3 linked regions of the Saccharomyces cerevisiae S288C genome follow. The gene in region 2 interacts genetically with the main gene of each other region. Each region holds a gene or a part of one and is shown on either strand. Other genes may lie near its edges.

Region 1 (4,262 bases), on a different chromosome or scaffold from region 2:
AAATTTCTACAGATCAAAAAGTTCATTGTTTTCCCCTGTGGCCACTGTTTTCACTGGAACTGTATAATCAGGGTAATACTGAACTCAAATGATTATAACTTGAGGCAGAAGACGGAAAACTTCTTAAAGGCCAAAAGTAAGCATAATTTGAATGATTTAGAAAATATCATTGTAGAGAAATGTGGATTGTGCAGTGATATCAACATCAATAAAATTGATCAGCCAATATCTATTGATGAAACAGAATTAGCCAAATGGAATGAATAGTAGTATTCTTTTTTAGTCAGGCTGAAACACTGAAATTAAAAGAGGGAAGATAAATATCATTACTATTATCTGACTAAAATATGTGTCGAGTATTTACTTACCTAAATAGCCAAGAAGTAAAAAAAATGCGTATCAAAAATGAATAAAACGTAAAATTATCGGGGAAAAACCTTGTATTTTCAAAGAGTAATAAAACGGGTGAATTAAAATCACAATATATGTATGGCTGAAGTTCAACATAAGTCATAACTAGAGAAACTTCTTCTTGCCCATGAGTTAATATTCCACCTCATAATTCCGTAATCTGTACCAATAATCAAGGAGCTCCCATTCCTATCTTCAACCCAATCGATACCTGATATATTGTTTTCTTCTGAGAATTCGTTACTTTCCTGAGTTGTAATCACTGGTCTTCTCAAAAAATTGGATGTGCCTCTATTATTCCTACTATTTGCAGCAAAATTGTCATCATCTGACGGTAAGTCTGGCGTTGAAGGTGGTCTGAGAAAACTTTCAAAAGCTCTTGCGGAAACACCATGATAGTCTGAAGAAACACGATACGTTGAGTGAACATCATTGTAAGCTTCATAATATTCATCATCTTCAAAAACATCATTACTAGCTTGCTGGTGAGAAAGTATTAAGGGGTCAATTAAATTTTGAGGTGCGGAATTTGACGACGAAGTTGCGATAGAATCAGCAGCAGGTGTGCCAAGACTTGCGTTAACATTGTTATTAGAATAATCGGCGGTTGGTGCCGAAGTCGATACTCTCCTTACCCTGAATGAACATCGTCTCTTGTATGGATGAGCTACGTCACTTGATGAACTACCTTTCGTAGAAAACAGAACCGATTCGTTACTAATTTTATCCATAACTTTCGGAAAAGGTAGAATTTGCGGCTCCAAATACTTTTTTGGGATTCTTTGAGCCATAGTTATCCATGGTTCTGTGGTTACATTTGGCATAGAGGGCAGCGAAAATCTTCTTCTTGATAAAGACCGATAATCCGCCCCTTGTAATTCATTTTTGCTATCATTACTTTCGTTTTCGTTGTTATTATTTGTGGTGAAATTATGATTTGTATTATGCTTCCGTTCGTTTATATATTCCATATTAACTTTATCAGGAATAACAATAACTTGGTGGTTAACGTAGTTTCTTGTATCTACAACGTGTACTCTGCCCTGATGTTCAGAAATGAATAATAAATCATCTAGGCCATAACTGAACCTACAGACTCTAAATGCACCGTTGTGGGAATGTGGTCTAGTCGAACTAATTTCTGCCATGGGAGTAGCCATGTTTCTGATATCATAAATTGCGCAAGTACCATTTTGAAATACCGTCGCAAATTGCAAGTCGTTTTCGGAAAAAGAGTTATAAAACCCATGGTCTGAATTTGGAGCTTCATATATGTTTTCGATATATTCTGATTCATCAGGTAACGCAAACCGTGGTATCCGTCTAACACGATTGACAGAACTACCCCAGGAAGGATGATTATCGTAATGTAAGGAGAATTGGTTGGTTAATTCATTTTGATTGTAAACAGCAAATTTATTAGAATCGCCAGACACTACCATCGTTTGACCATCATGTGACAAAGAAGCGTTATTCAAAGGAAATTTTAAATCCGCATAACGCTTCACTAGTGTTACATCTCTATTACTTACATCGCATTGGTAAAGATGACCATCATTGTTGCATGCAAAAAGATCAAACTGCATACTGGCCCTGTCATAAAGTGTGACACAATTATTGATGAACTGGCCCAACGTAAAAGTCATCATTGTGTCCGTTTCTTGATTATAAAACTCCACGATGCCCTTCCAGATATTAGGATTTGAATAATGTGAATTTATAGGGAAACTAATATTTTTGGAAATATTAATCGGTTGGGAAGGTGGCGGCAACGAAATATTTGCATCTTGAGCTAAACGGTTCCAATTAGAAGGGAATCCCTTATCATCAGAACCGATTAGACCACCACAAACAGTCAACCCATTTAATTCCGTGAAACATCTCGGCTTAAAGTTGAACTCTACCAGTTTCTCGGAAGGAACATGTAAATTTTTGGAGATATACGAGCCCGTTGTCCTAGAACCTTTTGTAGACGTTTTTTCAGTAGAGTTTTTACCACTGTTACTCGGTTGAATAGAATTATGTCGCCTTACTGGAGACCTCAATACGGAAGAATCCGTATCTAGTACTCTTATCGAATGATCGTAAATATAATACAGTTTACTCTGGTTCATGGAGCCTGGTTTGATACAATCCCGCAACTGCCAATGGTTTATGGAGACCTTGGCATCGTAGAGTTCTAAAGCAGGCATCATATAGTTTTGGTAAACCTTATCAGAGCCAGTATTTAACCGTTCATCTTGCAGCGCCTCCTTAGATTGCCCCGTGCCATCAATGGTCATTCTTTAACACGTATACTTTTGTAACTTATTGCTGTTTTTCTACCACTTTATTCGATCTTACTTGTCGTTGCTTAATCAGCAAAAGTTTTGTACTAGAATAAAGTTGTAATAGGCTTTTAATCCAGAGTCTCCTCCTCCTCACTTTCTGATCATCACCCCTTATTGCCTCAGAAAAGAGATCATACTCCGCTTTAAAGCCGTTCAATGTCACGTGACACAAAGTTGTAGCCGTATAACATATGGCGCTACCATGTTGTTATTTAGACGGGTAACATCACCGTTTAGAAAGATAAAGGAAAGTGAAATTATTGGAATGGAAAGTGTTCCCAAAAGTTCGCACCAACGCAAAAAGAAATTTTTTTTTCAATTTTGATATCATCGTTGCGTAGAGGAAGCCCTAACTGAGTAGAGAAATTATATGGTATTTTCCTTGTAATATTTGATTTTGAGTCGATATCCCCTTTGTTCTTCTTCCTTCCTTCGCTTGTTTTAGTTGTATACTTGGTTTATTGTGGAAGATTTTTTTTTCTGCTTCGTAGTTTTAAATTAGAAGTTATTTCTTTGCAAATTTCTCTTCCCCCCACAGTATTCTTTTAGAGGTGAAGTAGAAATAAACCAAGAAAGCATACACATTTTATTCTCAATGTCCAACCCATTTGATTTGTTAGGTAACGACGTCGAAGACGCTGACGTTGTCGTTTTGCCACCAAAGGAAATCGTCAAGAGCAACACTTCCTCCAAGAAGGCTGACGTCCCACCTCCATCCGCTGACCCATCCAAGGCTAGAAAGAACAGACCAAGACCTTCTGGTAACGAGGGTGCTATCAGAGACAAGACCGCTGGTAGAAGAAACAACAGATCAAAGGATGTCACTGACTCTGCCACCACCAAGAAGTCCAACACCAGAAGGGCCACTGACCGCCACTCTAGAACTGGTAAGACTGACACCAAGAAGAAGGTTAACCAAGGTTGGGGTGATGACAAGAAGGAATTGAGTGCTGAAAAGGAAGCTCAAGCCGATGCTGCTGCTGAAATTGCTGAAGACGCTGCAGAAGCTGAAGACGCTGGTAAGCCAAAGACCGCTCAATTGTCTTTGCAAGACTACTTGAACCAACAAGCTAACAACCAGTTCAACAAGGTCCCAGAAGCTAAGAAGGTTGAATTAGACGCTGAAAGAATTGAAACTGCTGAAAAGGAAGCTTACGTTCCAGCAACCAAGGTCAAGAACGTCAAATCTAAGCAATTGAAGACCAAGGAGTACTTGGAATTTGATGCCACTTTTGTTGAATCTAACACTAGAAAGAACTTCGGTGACAGAAACAACAACAGCAGAAACAACTTCAACAACCGTCGTGGTGGTAGAGGCGCTAGAAAGGGTAACAACACTGCTAACGCTACTAACTCTGCTAACACCGTTCAAAAGAACCGTAACATTGACGTTTCTAACTTGCCATCTTTGGCTTAAGCCTTATATATGAATAATTCCAACTGAAAGAATCCAATAACAGTGTTCTACTTTCTGTTTCTATTACTATTATTATTTTAATTGGTTATTTACTATATAATTTG
Region 2 (3,703 bases):
TATATATATATATATATGTATGTATACTTATTTATTTATATATATATCACAAAAGGCTACCAAAAAGATTAGCCGCCGAGGTACATCGTGAGGAGTGATATTCTGGGGAAACGGGTAGCGATTTCGTGTCTATTTTCGGTCACCAAGTCAACGTTACTTACTGTCGTATAACCAAAGTACAACAATAGCAACAGTTCCTAACATTCTTCCATGGATACGGAAGCATTGGCCAATTATTTGCTACGGCAGCTTAGTTTAGATGCGGAGGAGAATAAGCTAGAAGATCTTCTCCAACGGCAAAATGAAGATCAAGAGTCTAGTCAAGAATATAACAAGAAATTATTATTGGCATGTGGATTTCAGGCCATTTTAAGAAAAATTCTGCTGGATGCTAGAACAAGGGCAACTGCAGAAGGTTTGAGGGAAGTATATCCTTATCATATTGAAGCTGCAACGCAGGCTTTTCTGGATAGTCAATGAAGGGGTATTTTTAAGCCTCTTTATCATATACTCTTTTGTTCGTAATAGCAAATAACTCGGTCTTATTAACGAGAAAAAGTTAAAGCATCTTCTGAATTTTTATTATATACAAGTTATGTAGTAAGGCGCCACTTAGCACCTAGAAAATATGATTAGCGTTCCGTAAGCTGGAGACCATTTTCAACGCATCGTGTGGTGCATCTTTATTCATAACGAAAAGTCCTTGCAACTGGGCGGTACTTACGGTGATATCCAATTCTTTAACACTATTTACAAACTTTTTGCATATATCAGTCTCACCTGGGTAAAATTTCATAAACATTTTTTCTACCTGGTATGGAGTTGCGTTACCAACGAAGACTTTGTAGTCAATACGACCTGGTCTCATTATAGCCGCGTCTAGCTTTTCAGGATGATTGGTAGTCATGAATGTAATAGTTTCTTCAGAAGATGTGACGCCATCCAGGGCATTCAGTAAACCGCTAAATGTTACGCTAGAATGAAAACCTTGTTCACCAGTTTGACTTCTTTTGTTGAACGCCGCGTCAATATCTTCCAGTAATAGTATGCTCCTTTCTGGCATGTTATTCATTAAGTGGTTTAATCTGTCATCTGTTAAATTATTTTCGGAGAGGTTTAAAATACAAATGTTGTAGTCTAATTCGCCCGCTAAAGCCTGGATAAAGCTAGTCTTACCAGATCCGGGAGGGCCATAGAGTAAATATCCCCTGCGATATGGGATACCCCTGTCAGAGTACCATTTGCCGTTCTTCATAAAATCATAAACGTCATCGAGAATACCCTCTTTGATGCCACTGTCCAAAATGACGGAGGGCAGCATCCTTTTAGCTTTTGGTTGACCAAACTTTCTCCATTCAGGGCCGAAAGAAGTGTAAATAACAGTCTTGCCCTCAGTAGTCTTCAGGGCTATGTCTTTAGCCTCGTTCAAAATGTCATCGAACAAATGTTTGTCACGGTACAGTGTAGTTAAGGTTACGGTCTCAAATGGTGACCCGTTTGCGATATCTATCATTTTTGCGGACCTTTCTCTTTTAATCAGGATAAAAGCACCCTTATAACGAATCCAATGATTTCCCGGACCCGGAACCAGCGAAAATTTTGTACTAACTGATCCATTGTCATGTTGTATGTAGTTTGTCCTAACGGATAAGTGTCTAGATACCCTTTGAGGATGTTTGGCCATCCATGTTAGAAACCAGGCGTATGATTTGTCCTTCGACTGAATCTCTAAGTCGACAATCATTTGTCGGTATAGGACCCTGCTGGCTTTTATTATACCGGATCTAGCTACAGCTAAACCTGTACCAAGGATCATAAGACCACCGCCGGCGGCAAAATAGGGATTGTTTGACATAGCATCGCCAACTAGTTTTGAAAGTTTTTCCCGGACTGAGTCATTACCAGTTTCATTTGTTGGCGGAGTAATTACACCACTCAGATTTGGAGTAGCCTGTTTATCATATTGTATGTCAATCGGCTTATCCGACATGGTAGATTGAGGGCACACTTCATTTTTTTTCAAATCGTCCCTTGGTACGTCTACTGCGTTGCAAATATAGAAGAGTGGAAATCTTTACTTATACTATTTACATCGATTTTTCGGCACTCTTTAAGGGTAACTCAATCGAGATATAATTCGAAGAGCAGTAAACTATAGCTCGAACGTAACAGAAAGTTTTTTGCTTGCTATAGTTCTTGGCCACAACGCCTCATTCATTCATTTAGAAAGTTTCTCACTCTTTCTTCTTCCTTTTTTAGCTCATTACTTGTGAAAATGAGCTTTGTTCAAATAAGGCACATTTCTTCACAAATAAACCGTAAGACTGTATCCATTGTTGGATCGGGGCCTTCCGGCTTTTATACAGCGTACCATTTACTCAAGAAGTCACCGATTCCATTAAATGTTACTATATGGGAAAAGTTACCTGTTCCTTTTGGTTTAAGTAGATATGGTGTGGCACCTGATCATCCAGAAGTCAAAAATTGTGAAGAAACGTTTACCACATGTGCAGAAGAGTTTTCTTCCCCTACAAACCAAAAGCATAAATTTTCCTTTGTTGGTGGTATAACCATTGGAAAAGAAATATTGTTGAAGGAATTGCTGGATAATCAAGATGCTGTTATTTTAAGTTATGGTTGTACAGGGGACAGAAAGCTGAATATCCCTGGCGAACTCGGAACAAAAGGGGTGTTTAGCAGTAGAGAATTTGTCAATTGGTACAATGGTCATCCTGATTTCGCAAAGGATAAGCGATTTACCGATTTTGACTGGAGCAAAGTTTCGAAAGTTGGTATTATAGGAAACGGTAACGTTGCTCTTGATATTACGCGTGTACTTATTTCTAATCAAATTGATGAAATATGGGAAAATACGGACATCTCATCTCTTGCACTAAATTTGCTAAGAAGGGCACCTGTAAAGGACGTTAAGCTAATTGCACGAAGGGATTTCGTTCATTCCAAATTCACCAACAAAGAATTAAGAGAACTATGGGAGTTAGAAAAGTATGGCATACGTGGCCGTATTGATCCTAAATTTTTCCAGAAAGAAATGTTTGACCCATCTAAGTACGATCGTGCATTCAATAGACGAGTAGAGATGTGTAGTGAGTATCTCAAGCCATTTAATGAACGTTCGAAGAAAAACTATAAAAAGGCTCCTCCTCCAAGCAGCGGATATGACAAATTCTGGGAGTTAGATTATTTGAAGACTCCCTTGAAAATTAATAGAGACGATTTTGGTGCAATCAACTCTTTGAGTTTATGTAACAATCGATTAAATGAAGATAACAGTTTGCAACCCTTGAAGGACGTCAATAATATTATGACATATAAAGTGGATTTGCTGATTACTTCATTGGGATATGCAGGCGTTCCCATGCCTGAATTCTCTAAGTTGTCTATTGGATTTGACAAAGATCATATAGCTAATAAACAGGGTCGTGTTTTAACTTCCAGCGGAGAAATATTCCCACATTTATATGCATCTGGTTGGATCCGTAAGGGCAGCCAGGGCGTTATTGCCTCGACAATGCAAGATGCTTTTGAAGTTGGAGACAGAGTAATACAAGACTTGGTGGTCAGCGGAGCGCTATCCTTAGAGAATTCTATCGACCTCTCTAATATCAAGCACACCACATGGAAGGATTGGGAAAGAATCAACAAGAAGGAATTGCTTCGGGGCAAAAAGGAACACAAAACT
Region 3 (3,985 bases), 260 kb from region 2:
CACTCAGCTTATTATAGACTTCTGGTTTTGATTCCTGAATATGCTTGTTTAAGTGCGCTTTCAACTTCTTTAATTGACTCTTGAATTCATGAGTATGATCAAGACATTTTTGAAGGTTTGTCTCTTCCAGATTGCTGTCGGTATAAAATTTCGCAAACTCTGTCTCAAAGCTATCTAGTAATTCAGACATCGTTTCTTGGTTCCCTACTCAGTGCTGCATCTCTCTTGAAGACACACTTATCTCATACTGAATGTGTTGAACTTTACCCCTAATAATAGAGATTCCTCAGCTTTTTCCCCGGCGCGACGAGCTTTCCTATGTGTGAAATGATAATTTTTTTAACTTTCTAACACGAGAATATGAGCATCACCTATTAGTCGTATAAATAAATAATTCATAACAAAATACATAAATTGTAATAAATAAAATGTGTTAAAAATACACACTATCATAAATAATTGTCGTGGAAACAACGCCACTCATTTGTTACTTGAGCGTTTCAAAATTTGGAGTTACTCGAAAGCTCAGAAGCATGTTTTGCCTCAGCTACTTTTTTAATTGCCTCAGATAGTCCCTTATCAACACGAGCAAACATATCATAAACGCGCTGCTGTATTTGAGGACAGGCGCCTTCTACATGAATGCCGATGTTATATGCCAAGTTCTTTTGCTGTCCAGGTTGTTTACCCAAAACGCGGTAGAGATTTCTTGCTTGCACGAAATCTACATCACCTGGGGATGTTGCCCAATGATAAGGGATAGCTGGCCCATTCCATACCTCTTGGTGTTGTTGAATGGGTCTGTCCTGTTGGATATACGTGTACGATTTATCGTTGGCCAAATATGTAGGTTCTGAGCCGAAGTTGCCGTTAACATTCATCGGTCCATCTCTGATAGCGGGATTGAAAAATTTAGATGCATATGGACAGTTTACGGGTATTTGATGGAAGTTAGGACCTAGCCTGTATCTATGAGCATCCGCATATGAAAACAAACGGGCCTGTAATACTGGATCAGCGCTTGCTTCTTGGTAAGGAACCGTGGTACTGGGGGCGAAGGCAGCTTGTTCCACCTGTGCGAAGAAGTTCAGTGGATTCTCGTTCAAAACAATCTTACCCACACGCCGTAAAGGGAATTGCCCCTGAGGCCATACTTTAGTCAAATCAAAGACTGAAAATGGTAATTTTTTGGCATCGCGTTCGGTCATTGTTTGAATATAAACTGTCCAGGAAGGATAGTTTCCATTCTGAATAGCCTCAAATAAATCCTGCTGGCAGTAATCTGGATTGGATCCCGCAATTTTGGTAGCCTCTTCTATGGTCAAATTCTTTATTCCTTGATCGGTTTTGATATGAACTTGCACATAATGCCAATCTCCGTTTTTATTGGACCATTTATAGGTATGACCAGAATAACCATGCATACTACGGTAGTTGGCAGGGGTACCACGGTCTGAAAAAAGGATCATTACTTGATGAATGGCCACCTGATTTTCAGGAGTGGTGAGGAAATCCCAAAACATGTCAGCATCCCTTAGGTTGGTTTGTGGGTTTCTCTTCTGTGTGTGGATAAAGTGAGGGAACTTGGAAGGGTCTCTGATAAAGAATACCGGTGTATTATTGTAGACCCAATCTAAATTACCTTCTTCAGTGTAGAATTTGGTGGCAAACCCCCTTGGATCACGAACCGTGTCGGCACTACCTTTATCACCACCCACAGTCGAAAATCTTGTTAGACATTTCGTTCTTTTCCCAATTTTACTAAACATAGCAGACCCGCAGATATCAGTAATGTCATCGGTTACTTCAAAATAGCCGAAGGCACCAGAACCATGAGCATGTGGATTCCTTTGAGGAATATTTTCCCTGTTGAAATGAGCCAAAGAATCAATTAAGTTATAATCTTGCAAAAGCAAAGGGCCATGTTCCCCAATACGTTGGGTGACAAATGGTTCATTGATTGGATTACCAGTGGAGTTTGTCACAACTCTATCCTCTCTTACATCAGAGTAATTTACTTCATTTTTTTCTTGTCCCAATTTCGACATCTTCTAGGGTTCCAAATTTATTTGTAAGTACTATTATATTTATTTAACTTACCTTTTAAATAAACCTACAAGAAATTCAAATGTACGATTTGGACATTACAGTGAAGAATGCTTTCTACATCTCTTTATATGTATGGCGATATCAAAACTGGTTGTTTCTCCAATTCTGTCACTGTGGGGATTTTCGGAGTTTATATTTGTTAAAGCCGTCCTTTTTCGGATTAAGGGACCCCACCAACTTGCGCGGCTAATTCCGGCCAACTTTTTGCATTACTAATTGCGGCTTTAAATAGTGGTTAGAACAACCGCTCACTTCTTCACGCAAGGACGTTTGACAGAGCTTTTTTCTTCCTCTGTCAACTTTCTCTTTAAAATATTAGTTAGCAGCTTTTCATCAGGAATAACCTTGTAATTCTTGTCGATGGTTTCTTCACAAACTTGCAGCGAATCTATTTCGCTTTTCAAAACTCTCCGAGCCATAACATCTCTTAGTTCTTCCCTTGTTAATGAGTTTCCTTTCGAAGGTTTTTCGATAGAAACGCACTTTTTTATGGGGTAATCGGCTAGACGCTTCATAATACAACGTTTCCATGTGGCACTACAGTTTGTAGTGGCGCGGGCACCTTCTATCAATTGTAAACACTTCTTTACAATTCTCTCCACTTGCCTTTCCATTGCTTTTATGTCCAGTTTGCATAAACCTGGAATTTGGCAAAGAATTGTCAAGATTTGGACCAAAAGTATTAGTTGAGGCAACAATTCACCATTATTATAACAATCATATGAATCTAGTACTATTTCTTCACCTTCTAAGAATTCTTGAATATTGGCGTTATTGCGTAAGATATCAATACACCTGTCCAAAAATTCAGTATTCGTCTCAAAAGTCTCTTTTAACGCCTCGACAATATTTTCAAGTAACACTTCTCCAAAATCATACTTCGAACCGTCCCATTCAACATACCCATATCTTCTTAGTAGTTCCGAATTTGGATGTTCTCCGTATATGTTGTACACTTGTTCATTCTTTTCAATATCCCTCAAAGCAACCATCTTTAAACAGTTAGAGTCGTAAGTTAAATTAGCGTTGCATTTACTGGTATCTGCATTCAACATATCAGCAAGTGGAATCATCGATTTCAAGTAGCGCTCATTTTCAAGTTCTTCTTCACTGGTTTCTTCTTCTTCATTTTCATTTACACTACTATCTTGCATTTCCAAATCAAAGGAGTAACTCAATATAATGCTTGCAATATAGGCAAAATTATCAAACTCGAAGGACGTCGCTACACGTGAAAATTCTCCACCAATTTGTTTGATTGATTTAATAATTCTTTCATGCATCTCTTTGGCTTCCTTTTTTCCTATTCTTTCAAGGACAAGTGATGGTTTTAAAAGTTGCAGTTCATTATCATCCCAAAAAATTAACGCGTTCATATCGCTTGGTTTGTTCCAAACTTTAAAGTAAGGCGCCCATCGGCTTCTTTCTTGCAAAACTTCCATCTCATAAAGTATACAGATAATTAAACCTTCCCACGATCCGGTTTCGTTCAGGAACTTATCCTTGAGAGAAGGATAATCCTTTATCAGTTGAGATGTTGTAACGCTTAAAACAGAACTACGAGGTATTTTAAACAATGTTTCATCCTTCTTAATCTTTTGAGTGGCAACTACTGCGCGGCCTTGATTATCACAACAAAGATCTTTGATTTCTATCTTAGGGGATACTTCAATTTCAGCGGTAGTTTTTAACCAGCAAACAAAGTTTTCGGTATCTCTTGAAAAATCATCCATTTTCGCAAACTTTCCCCTTTATTACTAGTCATATTGAAATGATCGTATTAAGCTTTTACAAAGGTAATGAAATTTTTTCATACTCGAGAGAAAAATATGTGACACATGTGTGTATTACCCGCAGTAACTCTCGAAGATTACAT

What was found. Genes that interact genetically often act in the same process or in processes that back each other up.
Region 1: mutations in BCS1 (region 2) and GID11 impair growth when combined (synthetic growth defect), as found in Saccharomyces cerevisiae (2 studies listed by BioGRID, with this or other methods).
Region 3: mutations in BCS1 (region 2) and CTA1 together harm fitness more than expected from each alone (negative genetic interaction), as found in Saccharomyces cerevisiae (2 studies listed by BioGRID).

Annotation. Positions count from the first base shown.
Region 1 is NC_001144.5:437,131-441,392, forward strand, and holds GID11 (Gid11p), read right to left. Parts: upstream 2,694-4,262; coding exon 501-2,693; downstream 1-500. Other genes in the region: tethering complex subunit PEP3, read left to right, coding at 1-267; STM1 (Stm1p), read left to right, coding at 3,337-4,158.
Region 2 is NC_001136.10:1,224,547-1,228,249, forward strand, and holds BCS1 (bifunctional AAA family ATPase chaperone/translocase BCS1), read right to left. Parts: upstream 1,991-3,703; coding exon 620-1,990; downstream 1-619. Other genes in the region: WIP1 (Wip1p), read left to right, coding at 211-480; ARH1 (NADPH-adrenodoxin reductase), read left to right, coding at 2,276-3,703.
Region 3 is NC_001136.10:967,633-971,617, forward strand, and holds CTA1 (catalase A), read right to left. Parts: upstream 2,049-3,985; coding exon 501-2,048; downstream 1-500. Other genes in the region: ubiquitin-protein ligase RMD5, read right to left, coding at 1-190; RKM4 (ribosomal lysine N-methyltransferase), read right to left, coding at 2,358-3,842. UniProt on the Saccharomyces cerevisiae protein: Catalyzes the degradation of hydrogen peroxide (H(2)O(2)) generated by peroxisomal oxidases to water and oxygen, thereby protecting cells from the toxic effects of hydrogen peroxide.